Linked DNA regions of Caenorhabditis elegans. The main gene of each other region encodes a partner of the protein of the gene in region 2 in a complex. Each region holds a gene or a part of one and is shown on either strand. Other genes may lie near its edges.

Evidence for each region.
Region 1: lin-9 (region 2) and lin-53 share a complex: the UniProt entries of both Caenorhabditis elegans proteins name them as parts of the DRM complex.
Region 3: lin-9 (region 2) and lin-35 share a complex: the UniProt entries of both Caenorhabditis elegans proteins name them as parts of the DRM complex.

Annotation. Positions count from the first base shown.
Region 1 is NC_003279.8:9,616,215-9,621,715, forward strand, and holds lin-53 (putative histone-binding protein lin-53), read right to left. Parts: upstream 3,547-5,501; 5' UTR 3,544-3,546; coding exon 3,388-3,543; intron 3,334-3,387; coding exon 2,750-3,333; intron 2,703-2,749; coding exon 2,189-2,702; 3' UTR 1,997-2,188; downstream 1-1,996. Other genes in the region: K07A1.10 (Large ribosomal subunit protein mL64), read right to left, coding at 21-103; putative histone-binding protein rba-1, read right to left, coding at 392-451, 502-688, 747-1,001, 1,062-1,213, 1,256-1,696, 1,744-1,887; nra-2 (Nicalin), read left to right, coding at 4,019-4,096, 4,142-4,293, 4,341-4,467, 4,526-5,069, 5,112-5,244, 5,285-5,501. UniProt on the Caenorhabditis elegans protein: Core histone-binding subunit that may target chromatin assembly factors, chromatin remodeling factors and histone deacetylases to their histone substrates in a manner that is regulated by nucleosomal DNA.
Region 2 is NC_003281.10:8,896,747-8,905,742, reverse strand, and holds lin-9 (Protein lin-9), read left to right. Parts: upstream 1-1,611; 5' UTR 1,612-1,617; coding exon 1,618-1,674; intron 1,675-1,783; coding exon 1,784-1,902; intron 1,903-1,951; coding exon 1,952-2,084; intron 2,085-2,124; coding exon 2,125-2,727; intron 2,728-2,771; coding exon 2,772-2,930; intron 2,931-3,405; coding exon 3,406-3,816; intron 3,817-3,894; coding exon 3,895-3,999; intron 4,000-4,045; coding exon 4,046-4,195; intron 4,196-4,950; coding exon 4,951-5,148; 3' UTR 5,149-5,505; downstream 5,506-8,996. Other genes in the region: unc-32 (V-type proton ATPase 116 kDa subunit a 1), read right to left, coding at 1-115. UniProt on the Caenorhabditis elegans protein: Synthetic multivulva class B (synMuvB) protein. SynMuvB proteins are required to repress the induction of vulval development by Ras signaling and probably act by forming the multiprotein DRM complex that represses transcription.
Region 3 is NC_003279.8:5,805,886-5,812,204, forward strand, and holds the start of lin-35 (Retinoblastoma-like protein homolog lin-35), read left to right. Parts: upstream 1-1,823; 5' UTR 1,824-1,844; coding exon 1,845-1,902; intron 1,903-2,154; coding exon 2,155-2,250; intron 2,251-2,535; exon of another isoform or gene 2,536-2,612; coding exon of another isoform or gene 2,613-2,753; intron 2,754-3,061; coding exon of another isoform or gene 3,062-3,293; intron 3,294-3,337; coding exon of another isoform or gene 3,338-3,512; intron 3,513-3,557; coding exon of another isoform or gene 3,558-3,651; intron 3,652-3,754; coding exon of another isoform or gene 3,755-3,934; intron 3,935-3,981; coding exon of another isoform or gene 3,982-4,110; exon of another isoform or gene 4,111-4,117; intron 4,118-5,603; coding exon 5,604-5,824; intron 5,825-6,086; coding exon 6,087-6,203; intron 6,204-6,319. Other genes in the region: vps-51 (Vacuolar protein sorting-associated protein 51 homolog), read right to left, coding at 1-327, 376-807, 867-1,028, 1,080-1,254, 1,298-1,356; C32F10.4 (uncharacterized protein), read right to left, coding at 2,613-2,753, 3,062-3,293, 3,338-3,512, 3,558-3,651, 3,755-3,934, 3,982-4,110. UniProt on the Caenorhabditis elegans protein: Key regulator of cell division which acts as a transcriptional repressor and negatively regulates cell cycle progression in its active unphosphorylated form, but allows cell cycle progression when phosphorylated.

The DNA.
Region 1 (5,501 bases), on a different chromosome or scaffold from region 2:
TGCAAAAAATGAAAACTCACAAACTAACATCAACCTTCGGAGCGATTTCCTCACTTGAATTTGTTGCAAAACTTCTTACCAAAAGTCTCCAATTTCTCAACATTTTCTTTCTGGATAACCTTGAAATATGTTTAATCAATATATTCCTTATCGTAAGAAAATAAGCAATGTAAACCGACTAAACATGGTTTCGCAAGTGCGCCCCATTGTGAACACACTATTTTTCAAAGTAAATATTTAGTGGCAGAGAAAACCTGAGAAATTAATTCTGAATAGATGAACACAATATGAAAGAAAATGAAAAAACGTTCATTGATAGGAATGTGATTTTTACATTCAAAGATCAGAAGTGAGAAAATTAGTAAAATTCGACAAAGTGCAATTTAGACGATTAAATCATTTCGGTCTCCCATTTTTCCGACGAAACTAAACTGTTTGAAACTTCCCACACCTGAAAAACCATTAAATAGTTATGATTAATTTTTTGAAAATAATTCTTGCCTGTAATGCATTAAATTCGTCGCTGCTGCAAATAGTCCATGGGCGGTTGGGATTCCAAGAGAAATCTGCAACTTTTCCAGTATGCCCAGCGTGAATAAAAATAACTTCTGGTGGAACAGAATCAGATGATGCAGCTGATGAAGACGATGGGTCTTGAATTTTAGAAATATCCCAAACGATAACCCGACTGAAATTTTTGAAATTTCATAGGTTAAACAAATACAACTTATTAGGAAAAAACTTACTCATCCGATCCACTACTAGCCAGAACAGTTTCATAATGCGGGCTGAACGATACTTGAAATATTTCGTCGTTGTGATGTTTCAGCGTGTACATTTTTTTGCGCATATTCCTCATATCCCACAAAGCAACCGTTTTATCAACAGATCCGGTTGCTAAAATGTATTCGGAAAACGGATTGAAAGTAATACAATTAACTTCTGCAGTATGTCCGACGGCTGTGAGCTGTGGCTTTGATTGACGCAGATCCCATAGGTTTCTAAAGACGTGAAAATTATTTTGAAATCTCGACAGAATGGTATGATGTATTTATACTTACAGTTTTCTATCATCTCCAACAGATCCAAAAACGAAATTATGGAGCGCGTGAAAAGAAACATCCTCCGCATTTGATGAATGACCTTTAAACTTGCTTTGTGGCACTATTTGACCGGAAATGGTCTGATTCGCGTTTATATCCCAGTGGCAAATCTTAAAAAATGTATATTTATGTATATCTTTTGTTAGAAATACCATTCCGTCATCGCCGGCAGTTAGCAAATGTCCCTCTCTGGTGTTGCTCCACGACATTCCATATCCTTCGCCTTCATGGCCTTTCAATCGCAATTGAGGTCGAAATTTGGTGTCTTTTGGTTCAGATGGGTGCTTCGTGTAGTCGAAAATATAAACGTCATCAGAAGGACCTCGACTTGCAATAATGAAAGGATTATGTGGCATGTAACGTGCCCTATGAACTTCTCCTGGATGGTTGATTTTAATCTCAGTATCCCATTTTGCAGCGCTGCCCTCTCCATAACCTCCGAACTCTTCACGTTCCGAATCCCATTTAGCGTCGTCGAATTCTGGTGTGTCTGTCGTTATTGTGAACTTTGAGATCATGAGATGATTCTGAACTCCTCCACAAGTATGTGTTCCATGAATCATTCGATGCATCGATGAATCCGAGTTCTCTGTCTTAAAAAAATAATGAAGAAGGCGAAATCATATTTACCGATTCTTACTTTTGTGACATCAGGCATCCATTGCACTGATAAAGAAGGCCACTCGACCTCTTTTGTGACGACTGTATCGTAGAGATATGGAACATTTTTCTTCCAAATTCTATGTTCTTTACTCGTTTCTTCACACGATTCAGCTTCACTCATTGTGCTCTGAAATTGCCTGAAATAACAAAAGATACAACAAAAAACCAAAAATATCACAATCTGAGCTATCACAACAATCACGTTAACATAATATTTCAAAACAGTTATCTGACAATGGTCATCGAATTTATTTCAGGTTCAACAAAATATGATCATATCTCAAGGTAACATTTTAACTTTAAAAACTTAGTTGGTGAAGAATATGCGTTTGAATAAATGGTAAGATGAACAATTTGTTGAGATGCAAAATTAAAGAAGGATAGAAGTTAAATACAAATAATTTAAGCGCGTTTCACGTATTTTACTGTTGTCTCTCTACCACATCGGCTGGAGTTTCTTCGTCAACTTCGTTGTATATGTTATCAGCCATTTGCCACACTTGGAGAATATTGTCTTCTGACACACTGCACACAACCCAAGGCTCGTTCGGGTTCCACGAGAAATCGCTGATCTTGGCGGTGTGCCCACCGTGAATAAACAACAGCTCTGGTGGACCATCTTCCGCGTCTTCGGCAGATTGGTCTTCTCCAATCTTAGATAGGTCCCACACATGAAGACGTTTATCAGTACCGCTGGATGCAAGAATAGTCTCGTTGTGTGGACTCCACTGAACTTGGAAGATTTCATCACGATGTGATTCAAATGAGTGAAGTTTCATTCGTAGATTACGTAGATCCCAAAGAGCGACAGTTTTATCAGCTGATCCGGTGGCCAGAATGAATTCGGAATATGGATTGAATGCGAGACAGTTAACTTCGGCAGAATGAGCATCGATACAGTGTCCAGGAGTGCTTGTGCGCACATCCCAAATGAGCCTATAATTTTTAATTAGTTAATAAATAGAAAAAAAACAAAAGCTTACAATTTCTTATCGTCACCAACCGATCCGAAGACACCATCATGCAAAACGTGCCAAGCAACATCTTCAACGACTGACTCGTGACCTTTGAAAACATCCTTCGCTTGCAATTCCCCGGCAACATTCTGATTTGCGTTGATATCCCAATGACAAACTGTCTGATCATCTGACGCTGATAGAATCAAACCTTCTTTGTTTGGATTCCATGATAATCCATAGCCTTCCTTCGTGTGTCCTTTCAGTCTGATAAGCGGATTGAACGTGTTATCACGAGGAACAGCAGAGTGCTTTAAATAGTCGAAAATGTAAACATCAGCATGTGGAGACTTTGTAGCAATGATATTCGACTTTTGAGGCATGTAACGAGCTCTGTTAACCTCCCCTTCGTGGTTAATGCGAATATCGGGTTCCACTTTTCCGTTAACAGCTCCGAAACCACCGTATTCACTGCGCTCGGTATCGTAGCGAGATGCATCAAATTGGGCATCATCCGTTGGCATACAGATCTTAGAAATAAGCAAGTGATTCTGCTCATCTGAAGTATGAGTTCCAAGAATGAGCCGATGAATAGTATGGTCGCTGTTATCCTAAATTATTTGAATTCACTTCATGAAAGTTGTGAATTATATGAGAACACATACCTTCGCAACGTCTGGGAGCCATTGAACACTGAGTGAAGGCCACTCAAGCGCATGTGTCATTACGAGATCGTACAAGAACGGGGTGTTCTTTTTCCAAATTTTGTATTCATCATTTGCGACGCGATCTTCGGAGGTTCCATCTTCAAGAGTGGCCATTTCCTGAAATTTTCAATTTTTGCAAAGAATAATTATCGTTCAAACAGTGTAGTTAGATAAAATAATACAACAAAGAAGGGGTGAATAATAAAATATTAATTCAATTGAATTTAAATATATTAAAACAGAGAATTTTAATGCGGGAAAGTGACCAAAACTGTAGAAGACCGATAAAACCCACTTTCAAAGTGTGTGCGCGTCGCGGTTTTCGCGGGGAGGGGTCTCGCAACGATTTGCCTTCACCGCTGTTGCAAGGTACGGTAGAGCATGTTTGGCTCATTTGAATTCCGCTCAGAAAACTCATGCAGTTTTCTCCCTACTCGGGTATTATATATCATCAATTCTGGTTTAATTCTATCGATTTCTGTAGAATCATGATAGTTTGTGTTATTAAATAATTCCTACTCCGAAAGATCTTTCATCCTAATTTGCACAGGATTCTCGTGATTTTGAGCTTAAGATATGTTTTTTTCAGATGCAGGATGAAATCATCGATTTTTTCCGAAGTCCGGCTCTTCTTTTCTACATGACTTTAATGTTAACCATTTGTGTAGTAAGTTGTTGGTAATGATTTAGAAGATGAACTCTCCATATTTAGGTGAACGGGTCCCAGCAAGTTGGAGAAGTCGTAGAAACCGAGTTTCATGCGTACCGTCTTCATCAATACGAAATCAGTGGTAACATTTATGGATGCAAAAATTATCGCGTATCATATGAAGCTGTTTCCTTGGGTGCAAGAACTCTTCGCAGGTTTTTTTGGATATTTCATTTGTAAATAGTAATATTTTAATATCTAGAACTATGGTTACAACATGGCGAGATCTTCTTACAACAGATGTCGATGACATGTGGGCACTTTCTACCGGTGCCGTGCTTATTTTCATTCCCGACAATCTTGATGAACTTAACGATATTGATCGGAAGGTTAGCTTGAACATTTAATTTCATATTGCCATAAAAGTTATTTATGCTCATTATTCAGGCATTCATCGATCTTGAAGCAAAGTTGTTGAGCGCAAAGACCGACTTGGCTGTTTATGTGGCTCCTTTCAATGATGACGCCGTTTCTATTCTTCACGATGTCAATACTCGCTCGGAAAAAGCTCCCACAGCCCTGCAACATTTGCTTCAATCACTTTCCGGAAACACAATCAGTATCACTTCTTCCGATCAAAGTCCAGAACTTCCACCTTCATACAAACCACTGAATATTGTTGGTCGCTTGAGTAGTGGAGATCGTGCTGCACCTACGATTGCATTTGTGGCACACTATGACACACAATCGGCCGTTCCAGGAGTCTCGCCTGGCGCTGATTCCAATGGGTCTGGTATAGTTGCACTTCTCGAATTGCTTGCTGTTCTGTCAAAATTCTATGATTCTCCAAGCACACGTCCTCCATACAATATTTTGTTCATTTGGACAGCAGCTGGAAAGCTCAATTATCAAGGAACTCGTCACTGGATCGATGAGTACCAGAAAGGCTTTGACAGCGCTGATTATGCCAAATCTGGACTTTCTAGAAAAGGTAATGCAGTAAAAGGAGAGTGTCGTTTTACCGGTTTTGAAGGGTTTTCAGATGATCGTGTTGACTTGGCAATATGTATTGAGGCAATTGGTCGCAAAACGGGAGGATTTTTCATGCATGCTGGAAAGACACCATCAGAAAATTCAGTAGCAGCTCAACTTCTCAGAAGACTTAAGTACTGTTTTAAAAGTTTATTGATTTTAATCGTTCGTAAGATATTTCAGCAGCATTTCTCCAAAGAAGAATATAGAGTTGGTAACGAAAAAAATCTCTTTGACGACAGTAAGCGCTTGGGAACACGAGAAATTTAACATCAAGAGAATGCCAGCTATCACCCTGTCTACTCTTCCATCTCCATCTGATCCAGCTCGTAATTCAATTCTTGATCTCCCATCGGCTCTCGACGAAGATGAGCTTATTGATAATATTCGA
Region 2 (8,996 bases):
CAACGCATTGATAGGAAGCATCAGATTGAAGGTAGAGTTGAGCCAGGCACATCTGCTCACTTCGATAGATGCCCGGTTGTGGTGGCTCCTCGCCGGGAGTCACGTAATCACCCATTCTAGTTGATTCTGTAAGAATTTCCATGAAATAATATGAAGATTTCAAAAATAAGAAGGAAAAAAAAATCAAAAACGCTTCTTTCGAGAGAAAACATTTAAGAAAAGCACGAGGCTAGGAGCGAAGGCCTCAGGACCGAAGACCAGATATTGACGGAGAGGGATCGATACGGAGCAGCACTGAGCAAGAAGAGAGCATGCGCTCAAACGTGCTCCATTGGAATATCATGAAAAAAGGGAGAGAAATCTAGAAAAAACTAAAGAAACAATTTGCGCAATCTAATCGATCAGCCGACACGTCATCGACATTAGAGCGTAATTCTCCAGGATCTAATAGCTAGACGCAGAGAAATAAACTTTCAGATGGCGAATAAGAAAACCTAAAGGAGATGAGGAAGAAATGAACAGGACAGGTTTTAAAAGAAAGAAAATGTCTGATTGTCTGCCTCATTCACCGCAATGTTTGAACACTGAAACCATTTGTAAGCAGTGTTATAGGATGGAGAAACGTAAACATTGGGCGACTCACATTTCGTGGATATTATGAAATTCAATCGATTCGATCAAAAGGTTGAGAGAAATGAAATAATTGTAGAGCAGTGGGGGAGATTGAGTGGTGATAACGCGAAAAAACGATAAGATTACGCTGCGAGAGGTCAACTTTGCACAAAAACTTCAATTTTGATGCGGAAATTGTATTAAATTTAAGAGAATTGTTTCTTTGCAAAAAGATTTTATAAATAGTGTTTCAAAGTAACATCAAACCATAGAATCCAGATCCAGAACGAAAAACGCTGACTAAAAACACTAAAGAAGAATATTGCTTTGAAGAAAAAACCTGTGAGATGTTTTCGGAACAAAGATGAGTGATTGAAGACGAAATATTTTTAATGAAAAGTTTATTCTACAATTTTAAAACTTTGCGGCCAAAATAAATTTTGGTAAACACTTAGTAGGAATGAACAATTTTATAATGTTTCTTGCCAATAAGGAGAGAAATGAATCATGAGAATGGAAAGAGAAGAACAATATAAACAAAATAATTCGTTTTAAATGCGGAAAGGAAGAAAAAAACATGTTTCACCGCATGATCTTGTGTAAAACCATGTTTAAAATTTAATGATAACCCAGGAAAGATGGAAAATCAATACAAATAAGAAATAAAACAAATAAAAAAAAAAAAAAAACTTTCACGAGAAAATCCAAAAACGGAATGTCACGACGTTCGACTGTCAAACAGCAGCTCTCCCTTTTTTCCGTTTCCCACCACATTCACTTCTCTCAGCTGTGTTCTGTTTTCCAACAGACAGCGCTCCACCGTACCTCGCTACACTGCCGCAGGGCAATCGCGTCGAGACCATCACGCTGTTTGAAATCGGCTGTTGGTTGGGGAAAAGAACCGCCATTTCAAAGTTTTTTTCGCGCGCGCGCGTCCGCATTCTTTCATTGATTTTTGTCTCGTGGTCTGAAATTATTCAAAAATTTGTTATTTTTCAGATAAAAATGTCGTCTGCGGTGAGAAGTCCGCGGAAAAAGGCAGCAAGTGACACGTCTGATCCTGTAAGTTATTGGAAATATTGATTTTATTGGGTTTTCGTGTTTTTAAAAATAAAGAAGTTGTAAATTAAAGAAAGATATTGAAAGTATGCATGACATTCGGTATTTTCAGGATCGCACCAGCTCACCATACAGTCTCCGTGAAACATCTAAAGTTCCATCGAGATATCGTAATGAAGAACTATACCTATCACCGTCTCGCAGTATCAAACGTACCGGATCTCCCAAAAAGTAACAAGCTGTTCCGAAAAAGTGGCCGACTAATCTTATGATTTTACAGATCTCCCGCGAAACGCCTGAATGGAGGTAGAGATTCTCCTTCAGTGAACTCATTGACCCGAAACTCAAGTCTAACAATGCTCGCAAAGGCAGCTCTTGATTATGAATCTTCCAGTTGTGCTTTGGAATATATTGTAAGTTTTAAAACAATTGTATTGTTGTCATGTCTCCAAGTTCCAGCCAAAAGAAGAACGACGCCCTCCACGCAGAGCTCTTGCTCTGTCTCCGCCTCCAGCACCAAGTAATGATCTTCTCGCAAAGGATCTGGAGATGATTGAGATGCATCAAAACCTTGTAGCAGGTCTTGATGATTTAGATAATCCTGCGAATATGACAAATGAAGCTGTAGAACATCGAGATACACAGTCATTCTTCAACATGTTCAGTACAGATCAAGAACGAAGTGCCATGATGAAACAATTCAAAACGTATAAAAATCAAACAAGTGAAGATGTGAGCACATTTATGAGAGCTAATATAAAGAAACTCTACAATTTGCTCCGATATAAGAAAGCTCGTCAATGGGTCATGTGCGAGTTCTTCTATTCTGCAATCGACGAACAAATTTTCAAAGAAGAAAACGAGTTTGCCACAATTATCCGCGAATCTTTCCCAAATCTGAAAAATTGGAATTTAACGCGTATTGAGTGGCGGTCGATTCGAAAACTTCTCGGAAAGCCACGTAGATGCTCGAAAGTGTTTTTTGAAGAAGAAAGAATGTACCTGGAAGAGAAAAGAATGAAGATTCGAAGTGTCTATGAAGGAAGTTATCTTAACGTAAGGCTGAAGAGGTGTATCATTTTCAATAAATGTTCTTTCAGGATCCATCGATTGATCTAAAAGATCTTCCAGCCAAGCTTCCACGTCCAATGGTGGTTGGAAATCGTGTATTTGCGAGAATTCGAAATCCCTACGATGGAATTTATTCTGGAATTATTGATGCTGTCATTCCGAAAGGATTCAGAATTATTTTTGACAAGGTTTGTAAAAGGAGACTCAATATCACCCAAAACGCCCGAATTTTGTAACGAGATGTCTTAAAATTTCGCCACAAACCTATTTTCAGCTAAATTCGTGAACTTCGCCAACTTGTCCATTTTGTACATGCTGGAATGCAATTCTTATTGCATTTTCAACAGTTATTGCATATTTTAGTGGTTTATTTCGCTTTAATTCTATGATTTAGGATCACTTTAAGTCGATAGACACCAAAAATATCAAAGTAGGATTCTTATCGACTTAAAATGTGCTCAAATCATCGAATTACTACCAAAATATGCAATAAAAAGTGTTAGGAGAAATTGACAAAATTTAATGATTTAGCTGAAAATAGGAAGTCTTTGGAAATTAAGACGTCCTATTACTATATTCGGTAGTTTTGGATCATAAATTATTTTGTTTTAGGGAAATTTGAATATTTGAAATTCTATAAATTCCAATGTTTTATTCTTTCAGCCAGATATCCCACCAACACTGGTTAGTGACACGGAAATACTTCTCGACGGAAAACTTGATTTGTTGAGTATCGCCTACTTCATTGAACAAGCCAACTCTAAGCTTCCATCAGGCGTTCGTCCATTTGTAGCAGCAGTTCGTGACTCATCACATCCACATCTTGTTCGTGACGTCCTGGTTTCTCGAAAAATCGAGAGAAGTGGTGGACCATTAATGGGACCGAACGACGAACGATTAAATGGAAAAAATGCAGAAATGGTTGGAAATTTCCCGCTGAAATTCCTTGTGAATCTTGTGAAACTGACGAAATTAATTGATATCAAAAAGGGATTGATACGACAATTGAACGAATTGAATGCGGATGCCGAGATACAAAATATGACGTCAGACAAATATTCGAAAGCTTTTCAGGTACATTTTTAATTAGAAATTTTTTTTGATATATGAAAAAGTCAACTAGATAGAATCTAAAAAACAATTTTTTTTCAGGAGAAATACGCCAAAACTATCATCGATCTGGAACATGTGAATCAGAATATAGATATCAATATGAATGGAATTCAAGATCACCATATGTATTTCTCTTCGAATGATGTAATTTTTCATTTCCTGATTCTTCGAAAGATCTATTTGTTTGCAGATTTCAACGTCAAATATGAAACCTGAAGCAGTTAGACAAATGTGCTCTCAACAAGCTGGAAGATTTGTAGAGCACTGTAATCAAGGATTAAATGTAGAGAATGTGCATGCGTTGACACTTATTCAATCATTGACAGCTGTCCTTTTACAGGTTTGTGGCACTATAGACTGCAGAATAATAATTTATTAATGAAAAAAAAAATTGAAAATGTAAAAATTCATTAGAAAATAAACTTCGGTTTTTACCAAATCCTCTTTCCTAATTTCATTATGGGACGATGCAAGTGAATTTCTCGTCATTTCTCGACACATTTTTTGCAATGCAAGTGTGCGGAGAAATGACGAGAAATGTCGTGAAATTCGCAATTTCTACGCGTTTCTCGACATATGAGATGTGTCCTCGCAGGGTGGTAAGACATTTCACCCTGTTAAAAGTGCGGTGAGTAGGCGGAGTTTCCTGCGGGGACACATGTTTCTGCGTATCTCACCGTTCATCATATGTCGAGAAATGCGGAGAAATTGCAAATTTCACGACATTTCTCGTCATTTCTCCGCGCACTTGCATTGCAAAAAATGTGTCGAGAAATTACGAGAAATTCACCACGTGTTTTCAGCTCGACCATTCGGTGTAATTTGTGCAAACACCGTCACGCGCTGCGGTGAAATTCCTCTTGGCGAATTCAAATATTTTTTCCCGCCTTTTTTGAAAATTTTCGAGGCGTTGGTCGAGCTGAATACACGTGTTCACTTGCATCGTCCCATTAGAATTAATTACAAATTACTATTTTACAAAAAAAAAACTAAAATTGTTTCCTAGAATTCAAAATTACCTGGTCATCGGTAAAACACTATTAAAAAATTTTTTTACTGCAGAAAAATATTAGAAAAAATATTATATTTTTCCAGGTTCGCACAATGGGAACTCAAAAGATCTCTGCAGTTGATCTTCAATCACTTGGTGACGCCATATCTGAAATTCGGACCGCTATTCACCCCCGCAACGTGGCATTCTTCCAAGACTACGTTGAAGTTCATATGAAACAATTTCACACAATTATGCTCGAAAGTGGAGCACTAGCTGGAACTGTATCGAACAGAAAATAACTAAAAGCGTCTCATTTTGTCCAAAAAAACGCCAACCGGTCCCGTCAGTTTTTGTTTTTCTGAATATTCTCAGTTCTCTCATCTCTGCTCTCTCTCTCTCCCCACCTTCTTCAATCACTTTGTGTCTTTTCAAAATTGTACCCGATCATGAGACACATCCCCATTTTTCTTATTTTTTAAAAGTAGTTCAACCTTGATAATTCGAATGTGCCAAAATTCTATTTTCTTCCTCATTGTCATCATCATCATCATCAGTTTTCGAGAAAAACGAGCCAAATAACGAAACCCTTGTCAGTTATACTCCACTATTTTTTATTTTACTGACTGTCTAGAAAATAAATAAAATTTTAAAGTTTCAGGTGAATTTTCATTTTATTATGTTTGCCAGCGGTGAGAAGATATTAGCCCGGACACAAAAGTGAGCGCTAAAAGTACGGTAACTGGTCACGACAAATGTCTGTTAAATACAAACGGATGTGCGCCTTCAAAGATTACTGTAGTTTTAAACTGTCTTTGCTGCGTAATTTTGATCAATTTTTATAGTGTGTTGCGCGCCTTGCTTCGTATTTGAATTCCATTCGCATTTTTTGCTGTTTTGCTGCTAATTTCTTTATTAAATTTATCACGAATGCGTTATTTCGGAGCTTCGTTGTTTCGTTTGAAAGTAAAAATAAAAATAGGAGGAATCGTGGCGAGACCCGCTCCCTACGAAATCTCATGTCCCTTTAACTTTTTGCGCCAAAAAACGAATTTCAATTTTTTTAAAAGTCATTTTTAGCTTTTTTTCTTAATTTTCTTATTTTTTAACAAAAATTTCACTGAAAACCGACAAAAATACATTTAAAACTGTTTAAAAAATTTGAAAAAATAGTTAAAATTTAAAAAATTTCTGTTAATCTTTTATGAAATTTTTGAATGTTTCAAGTACATTGATATCATTCTTATATTTAGCTGCAAAAATTAACAAAAAATCTATTTGCTTCTCTCCGTATTTCTCCATTTCTCTGGTATTGCTCCAAAATCAATTTGATTATTTTTTCAAATACAATAAATACTTTTTTCAGCATGGTAGATCAGTTGGAAGCCTCTATCGAGAATATTCTCGAACAAAAAACGCTAAAACGGATTTTTGTAGCCTGAAAAGGTGTCGGAAAGACGACAGGCAGTTGCTCATTAGCAACGCAACTCTCAAAAGTCCGTGAGAGTGTTCTAATCGTGTCCACCGATACCGCCCACAAAATCTCGGATGCCTTCAGCCAGGAATTCACTAAATTTCCAACACTGGTCGAAGGATTCAAAAATCTCTTTGTGATGGAAATCGATTCAAAACCAGATGGAGAAGACGTCGAAGTGGAGAATATGGAAGAAATGTTGCATAATGTCTGCAGTTCTAAGCTCAAGGACTTGGCGGCACTAAACCATCATCGATTGAAGTATCATATGACACCACAGGAATGCCTGATGTGCCAAATTGTGATGACTCGAGCCGATGATGTGAGGAAGCACATGAGAAATGTGCATCACATCACTCAACCGACGGTGTGCTCGTGTTGCCATCATACCTATCTTTCGTTGAAATCCGTTCATGCACATAGAAACTCTATAAAATAAGGAACAATGGATTCTGAGATACCGATCGCAAAATCGACAAATGCCCGCTTCTGTTTTCTGGCACCGCCTGCCAAAGCTGTTGTGCAAATTAGAGGAACGCCTCAACGAACACCTTCACCACACGTGGAAGAGCCGAAAACTCCTGTCCTGCGACTTTTGAGAAGCTCGCAGAGAAATAAACATCAAAAGTTCCATGTACATTAAATAGAATTTTTTTTTACTTAAATTTTCATCTTTTGTTTTGAACTTTATGCTTGTAACACTATTATACTACTAGTCAATACTAGTTCGCCAAACTTTCCCATCACTTTTTAACTCTGTTACATAATACTTTTGCTTCAATGAAACGGGGAAATGATTTTATTTTTCACATTTTATTCGTGTTCCAATGGTTTTCTATTTCCTTCTTTTTCTTCTTTACTGTTTTTCAAAAAATATTTTCCAGATGAAATGTGGATTTTTTGTTCTCAAAAAAGTGCAATACGCGACGTTATTGTTGTCATGTCTTCAAGTTTCAGCCAAAAGAAGAACGACGCCCTCCACGCAGAGCTCTTGCTCTGTCTCCGCCTCCAGCACCAAGTAATGATCTTCTTGCAAAGAATCTGGAGATGATTGAGATGCATCAAAATGGCCTTCATTCCGAGGGGACAAACTTTTAGGGTGGCAAGGTATTTTTGGGGACAAAGTATCCAAAGTGACATGGTATCCAGTCGACAAAGTGCCATTTGTCTCTGACCGGGCGTATCTTCGGTGACAAACTTTTTCAACTAGTTTTTTATATATATTTCTCAATCGATTTTTGTTTTTTTTTCACTGGAATAAGTTTTTAAATGCAATTTTCCATGGATTTTCGGCCTTGACTACTCACAATTGAATGTATGAACAATGATCCCTCCTGATGATCTGATTATTCAGCTTCAAAGGATCAGAAGGGTACCTCCTGGTGATCTGATCCTTCAGCTCCGAAGGATCAGAAGGGTACCTCCTGGTGATCTGTTCCTTCAGCTTCAAAGGATCAGATGGGTACCTCCTGATGATCTGATCCTTCAGCTTCAAAGGATCATAAGGGGTATAAAAGCAATAAATCAAGCATAGTTGATCAATTCTCCGTGATAACAAACTTTTGGGTGACAAAGTATCTTAGCGGACAAACAAAAATTACCGGAAACTGATATATTCCAAATATATTTCAAATATATTCCAAATATATTCCAAATATATTCCAAATCTATTCCAAATATATTCCAAATCTATTCCAAATGTATTCCAAATATATTTCAAATATATTCCAAATATATTCCAAATATATTCTGACGTCCTTTTGGCACGCATCATATTTTCGATCGTGAAAGTTTTGAAACGGTTTTATTTTACAAGTTTATAATTTTGGAAACAGAAAATATATTTATATAAGTTTTAACAGCTGCGGTGTGTGTTTCATTAACTTCCAGCTTCTGCCAAATGAATGTTTGGAATTATCCAAAGCCTTTTTTCACCATTTTTATAAAAAATCTGAACAGTGAGTACAGATTTGGTCATATCTCTGTTCCCTGGTACGATAATAACACAATTTCGCACAGAAATTGAGAAAAAGATTAGTAGAATAGGAAATATATTTGGAATATATTTGGAATAGATTTGGAATATATTTGGAATATATTTTAAATATATTTGGAATATATTTGAAATATATTTCGAATATATTTGGAATTGATTTGGAATATATTTGAACTAATATCAGATTAAGACTGAATATTTGACAACTCATGTTTATTGTATAAATTCAAATTTCAAAACTGCAGAGAATGGGATATTGCACGTGGCTATTTGGTAATTTGAATGCAGAAAAAATTCCAAGGAATATGAAGTGGACCAAGGAAAATAAATTGGAAATAGCAACTTGAACATTAGGAAACGGGGCTAAGTGAATTGAAAATGAAATCACATGAAAAATAATACGAAGGTAAAATTACTCCAAAATCATTGTATCTCCAACTGCCATCCCCTCCATGGAGGCTCCATGGCCCTCCATTCTCAGGATCCATAAGTCTGGTTAAAAACAAGCTCGTAAACTAGAGATTTTAACAAGTTGTGTGAAAATTGAATTCTCTGAATCTAGGTAAGTGTCGGATGAAGTCTAGCAGTCGGAAAAATGTACTGCTTGGTCCCATGACCTGTCGGCTGCCTAATACTAGGTACTATTTGAAAGAAATTACGTCTAAAATCTAGCTAATTAA
Region 3 (6,319 bases), on a different chromosome or scaffold from region 2:
GACTTGGTGAACAAAAACTTGTTCAATTTTGCTTGCTAAAGCGGATAAATCCTTTTCTTCATTAATTAATGCTTTTCGAACTTCATTCAAACCATTTTTGAGTTCTTCTTTTATTCTTGTCAATGATAAATCAATCTCGTGTTTTGATACTGCATTGATTAGTTCGATAGTTAATGGAAGAAAGTCAAGTCCAGGAATCACATAGCGGCAGGTTGAGATTTTTCGAAAATATCTATCAAGAGCCCGGACGACAATTGAACAGTCTTTTGCATCACTTGATGATAGAAAAACTTTTGAAACCAAAGCATGCAGAGAATTCATTTCCGTCTGTAAAAAAACTTTAATTTAATCCAAATCGTTTTTAAATTAACAAACCTTCAAAACCGTAATAAGATCTTCTCGTTTATCCTCAAATAATCGATCATGAGTTGTTGCAATCAGAGTGAGATTTGGAATAAAACTCTCAGAAGCTTTATCAACGAGATCCAAAACATCCGAATGATTTGCTGATAATTCTTTCAAATCTACTCTTAAAGATTGTTCTGAACACGTGAGCAACACTTTCTGAACTTCATCTTCATCTCTTCCAATTGTTAATAATAAATCTACAGCTTCTGATACTAATTCTGCACCAGAAGCCGGATTTCGCAGTTGATCCATTAATTGATTTTCCGTCATATCATAAATTTTCTTACTTTTTTGAAGAACTAATTGAACTGTTGGAACGTCTTTATACTGCGATAGTGACTCTTCTGCTAATTTGAACATTCGAAGAACTTCTCCATAGTTTCGCTCATCGAATTCACTCTGGAAGTTGTTTAGTTTGATGCAATATGAAAAAAAAGTTTTAAAATTAAAAATGTTACCCGCAGAACATGAGGAAGATCGAAAATATGCTTCAAACTATTCACAACTTTATACGAGCTTCCCAATTGTAGAATATCGTCACGTTTTTCGCCCAAAACTCCGTCAAGATTCCCAATTAGAGTCGATATTGTCGACATACTTCGGCTGAGAGATTTCATTTCCTGAAAATTAACATTAAAATTGTCTGATTTTATTATTATTCGAAAACTAACAGAATCGAGTTGCGTGAATTCATCTTGTATTTTTCGAACCGTATTTGTCGCAGTCAGAAATTTATTGTAATTTTCGTAGACTATTTGATGTACATCTGAATCAAGCCTTCTCACAGCTGAAACCATCTCCTCCTCTTCTTTTACTAATCCATCAAGCGACTTTTCACGGAGTAATCTGAATTAATAATATTTATCAGTGCATATCTCTGAAAACTAACTTGACGACAAATGCTTCGACATCAAAATCCGGCTTTGTGACGTCCAAAACACTAGACATTTTACATTCAATACTGAAAAATTAAAGAAAATTCAGGAAAACTCGAGAATGAAAAAAAACAGATTTGAGACACCATCAATACAAAGGGAACGAAATTTGGGGGAAATGCTGGTTGCCGAAAAAATAAGTAGAAGGTAAGATGTGTTCAACTGGAACATACATTTTCTGAATTGCAAACTCGATTTCTCTCACATTCACAATTTTTAATCACATTTAATGCTTCAGTTTTAGAAAGTTCTGAAGTATCCTCTTCTTCCTATTCAGTTTCTCAAAATCGATGGTGTCTCCAGGACGTGCACAAATGCGCTCTATTGCGAATTGTGGAACATCATTGCGCGCGCGACTAGAAAAAAATGAGCGCGTTCTTGAAAATTATTTTGCTTTCTCTAATTTTAAACGATTTCGATTACATTTTATCTGAACTTTCTTGGGTTTAATCGAATAAAAAACACAAAAATATTCTTCAGACTGGTAAAAACTTCTTCAATATGCCGAAACGAGCAGCCGATGAGCCTGGAACATCAACAACTGACCCATTTCACGAGCGTAAGCTTTAAATGATTTTATTCAAAGCGTATAATTATACTTGTCTGGAAAGTGAGGCGTTATCAAAGCTAGTTTCTCCGCCGCAGTGAATAGAAAAACTGATTAATGCAATTTGCGCAGGGTTCGATTTTTTCGAAATTTTTTAAACAGCGTTCAAGATTTTACTTGCCTTTCCATCAGGGAGAGAAATTTTTTAGAACTCAGCCTCAAATTACCGCAAATAAATTTAGATATTAATTGATTTATTTTCAGAAAGCCCATTCGATGCCGTGTTAGCCGGCACGGAGACAACGGATACAATATGTGAAGAGCCACCAGCAAAACGAATCGACTTAGATATAAAGCAAGGTATGGGGTTTTATAAATATTAAATCTGATTATTTTCTCCTTTTCAAAAATATTAAACAAAAACAAGGGTTTGCAGCCTCATGTGATAATCTAAATGACTGCTTTGTTTTACATATTAAGAGCATCCTTCGTTTTTCCAATAATTTTCTCTATGAAGATAGATATTCCCCAGTTCATTATCACCTTTATCACAACTCGCTATCATCTCCTACTTATATAGGAAATTATGAAGTTATCAAGCGCTCAGTCACCTGACTAGTTAAGAGGTCACTAACAACAATAGCTACCAATCAAGCAACATTTTTATTATTGCACACAACCACGAGCAAATGTCAAAATATACATAGAAGACAGAGTGAAATCTATTGAAGAACGTCACTTCGGACTGTTATATGTCCTGGTTCAACCACGTCACTATATGCAGGCGGCCGAGAAGTTGCACGTGGTCGGGTTGGATCTTCATCATTTGTAAACGCCGAATTGTCAGCTCCTGTTGGTTCACTCTGAAATTGTTACAGAGTTTTAGTGATGTCATAGGGAAAGAATTTTAGAGCTCATTCTGGCTCGAATTTGCTGGAAATCGGAGGTTTCCCAATAATAACCATTTTTCTGATATTAGTATTACTTTTTCGACTACAAGCGCTCCGTAACAAAATTTAGCGGGTTATTTGAAGTTAATTATAATCGCATTAAGACGTATTTATCTAATGCAGCTTATAATATAGAAAGAATAGCTTAGTTTTATATTATTGATTAATGAATAGTCGTTGAAACGGATTTCATAAAGCTTCAAAAAATTTTCAAAACTCACATTGGCAACTGTCAAAATCGGTGTCGATACGAAAGAACCACTCCTCGTTGATGCCGACGTCGTCGAACTCTCGCTATCAACAGGTTGTTGTTTTGTAGGAATCGGAGGAGCAGTTTGACTTGACATTGGTGGGGCGTAGGCGGTATATCTTGGTGGTGGTGGCATACCACTGGGACTCATTGGTGTTGGTACAATGTATTGAACATTGTAATTTGACGCCTGATGTTGAGGTCTGAACCATTGAATGAATATTCATAATTGAAATAATGGACTCACAATCTGTATGCATTTCTTCTGAGGAAGTTGTAGAGAATCATCATATATCGCATTTGGACGAGTGCAACAATAATACTAACAGTTAGGAAGAAACATGAGATTATAACCATTTCTAATTCTCCAGTTGTCATTTTTGGAACACATCCCTTCGCAGTGGTTACATCCTTTTGGTTATCTTCAAATCAGTTTCTTTATTCCGGAAAATTGTATTGAAACTAACCTGGATTGCAAATGTTATCATTGTTATCCGATAAATAAATACATGCAATAACTGCTCCCAGGATCAAGAAAAACACCCAAAATGTGTACATTGACTGAAATTGATAATTATTTCTCAAAGTGTATATTAACGAGAATATTGATGCTTCCATAATTGACTAGGAACATCGAATCTTGTGAGTTATATTTAAAACGTACTAGATATAACATGTAAGCAGTGATATAGGCAATTTTTCTACGCTTTGCACCAGTTGATAGAACAAACATCATGGCGCTTCCAATAGAAATCTCGAAAACGTAGAGCACAAATGGAGATGGATACAAAAGTCCGAATATTTGACATATCATGAGAATGGATCCGAGAATTCCAACAGCTCCCTGAAAAATGTTCAATCCTTGCTGAGATTCAAAATTTCTGAACTTACACCAATTGGAAGTCCACAAAATACCCTTGGCTCCGGTTCAGCAGCTATCCGCTGTGTTGGCTGATGTGGTTCAGCCCGTTGTTGCGGGTGCTGATACGGATCCGTCGTTTGAGAAGACTCGGTTGTCATGGTTCTTCTGGAATCAATACAATTTTCTTGGCTTATATGGTTTATAAATGCATTTGTGTGTGTCTGAGTGTGCCAACAAGAGACCTCTACGAGAGAAAAGAAAAGGAGAAGCAGAGTCGGGGAGGTGACATACGACTGATATGGTCGATGTCACGACAATATGATTCTCTTTTTCTCCCCCTTTCAATTCTTCATGTGTCGGTTGAGTAAATATTGCATGAAACTGTAGAAATGAGGGCATTGGGAGATAGAGAGAGGGACGTTGAAAATAGAGAAGAGCACTAGAATCAGCTGAGAGTATGTGGAGAAATAAAGAATGATAAGAACGTTGGAAGAAACTAGAACAATTTTGGCAGCTTAGTTTCGTCGTTACTTGATTTGTCACAATTAAATATGGATAAGTTGAGAATCAAGGATGCCAAAAAATATTTTTGACAAAAAAAAACAAAAAATTTCTTGTTCAAATTTCGTACCAAAAACAAAAAAAAATTGGATTTTATTTTTCTCGCGATTTAAAGTTAAAAATTTCGAAATTTTTTTTTGGTTTTTATGATATTTATACAATTGTATTTCTATAGAAATACCGAAAAAAAATTGGTGACTTATCGAATTTGTTTTAATTGGAAAAATATAATGGATTCAATTCGTTCTTTAAAAATTATTGGAAATTACTTTAAAATTGAAAAAATTGAAATTTTTTTCATTAATTTAAAAACTGACATCCTTGGGTCAATTCATTGCCATCTGGATAAATTTCCTTTAATATTGTAAATCATTGAGTGTTTCCAGTTGTGTAGGTCTCACTATGAAGAAACTATGAAAGAGGAAAAAGAAAATATAGAAAACCCATAAAAGTGGGAAAAAAACGGAAATTCGTGTTCTCCGTCGAAAAATATCACAATTTATGGGCTTATATGTGTGCGGGACAATGAATTCAATGTAATATTATTACTATGCACATCAATAAATTCAAATATAGCTGGTATCCACTCTTTTGGGTTTTTTCTTTTCGATATGCACCTATGGGAAAAGTATCAAATTTCAAGACAAATCAGTGGTTTTGTTCACGAGAGAATTTGCCTAGTTTCAGAAGGTTTATGAAATATCAATTAGTATTAAGAGTACACAAAATTATAGGATTTTTTGTTGAAAATTTAAAATGGTGCTTCTCCGTTTAAGATATATTTAACAAAAAATCTAACAAAATTAAATTGGTAAACGTTGATATAAAAAATCAGAAAATTGGTTTGGCATTTCAGAAAATATTTCAAGATGGATCAATCGTACTTGTTAACAGTATCAATTTTAATTTAATTTAATTTTTTTTCAAAATATAATAAATATGTTTAAAAATTCATTGATAATAAAAATTAAACGTTTTTCATAAATCAAACTTCGAAACATTTTCATAAAAAGGTAGCACAAGCAATAAGAAATGTTCTTATCACAGTCAACCTAGATGACATGAAATATTAAATGATAACTGTTTTCAGAATTCAATGGTGGAGTGCAAAGTGGAGGGCTGATTAAAAATGAATCCGAATTGACTCAAATGACAATCAAACAAGAAACAGAAGGAAACATAAATGAAGCTAGACGAGAAGAAGAAGACGAAGAACAAGATGAAGATTCCAGAACATCAATGCCACCTGCATTGGGAGAAGATGATGATTATGAGGAGGATGATGCTGATAGTTTTATTGATAAAACTAATGTAATACTATGTTTCTTCTAGTTTTACAACATAATATTTAAAATTATACGGAAAATGATGCGGATAATTTTAATTTTCATCAACACTTGAAAAAGGAAGTCTAGGACTAAGATTTTCTAAAAATTATATCAATGTCAACCTGAAAAGTTAATATCATAATCAGAAAAAAGTATTTTTATTAAACGAAAAAATGAAAAAAAAACCCCCTTTTTGCCCCTGATTGCTCAAATTAAAGTATAAAAAAGAATTTTAAACTTTTCAGACACCGCCACCATCACAATCATTTCTGGAAGGATGTCGAGCAGCTAATTTACCAAATGACATTGTTACTGGTGCATGGGAAACGTACAACCACGCGGTTCAACGGGTTTCTCTTGAGGTTAATTGAGTAGTCAACGAATGCGGGGAAGGGGTTTTTTCAAAACAAACCACTACTATATAATGTAAAAACTGAATAATTCAAGTAGCACACATAGTGAACACAAGTGTGCCTAA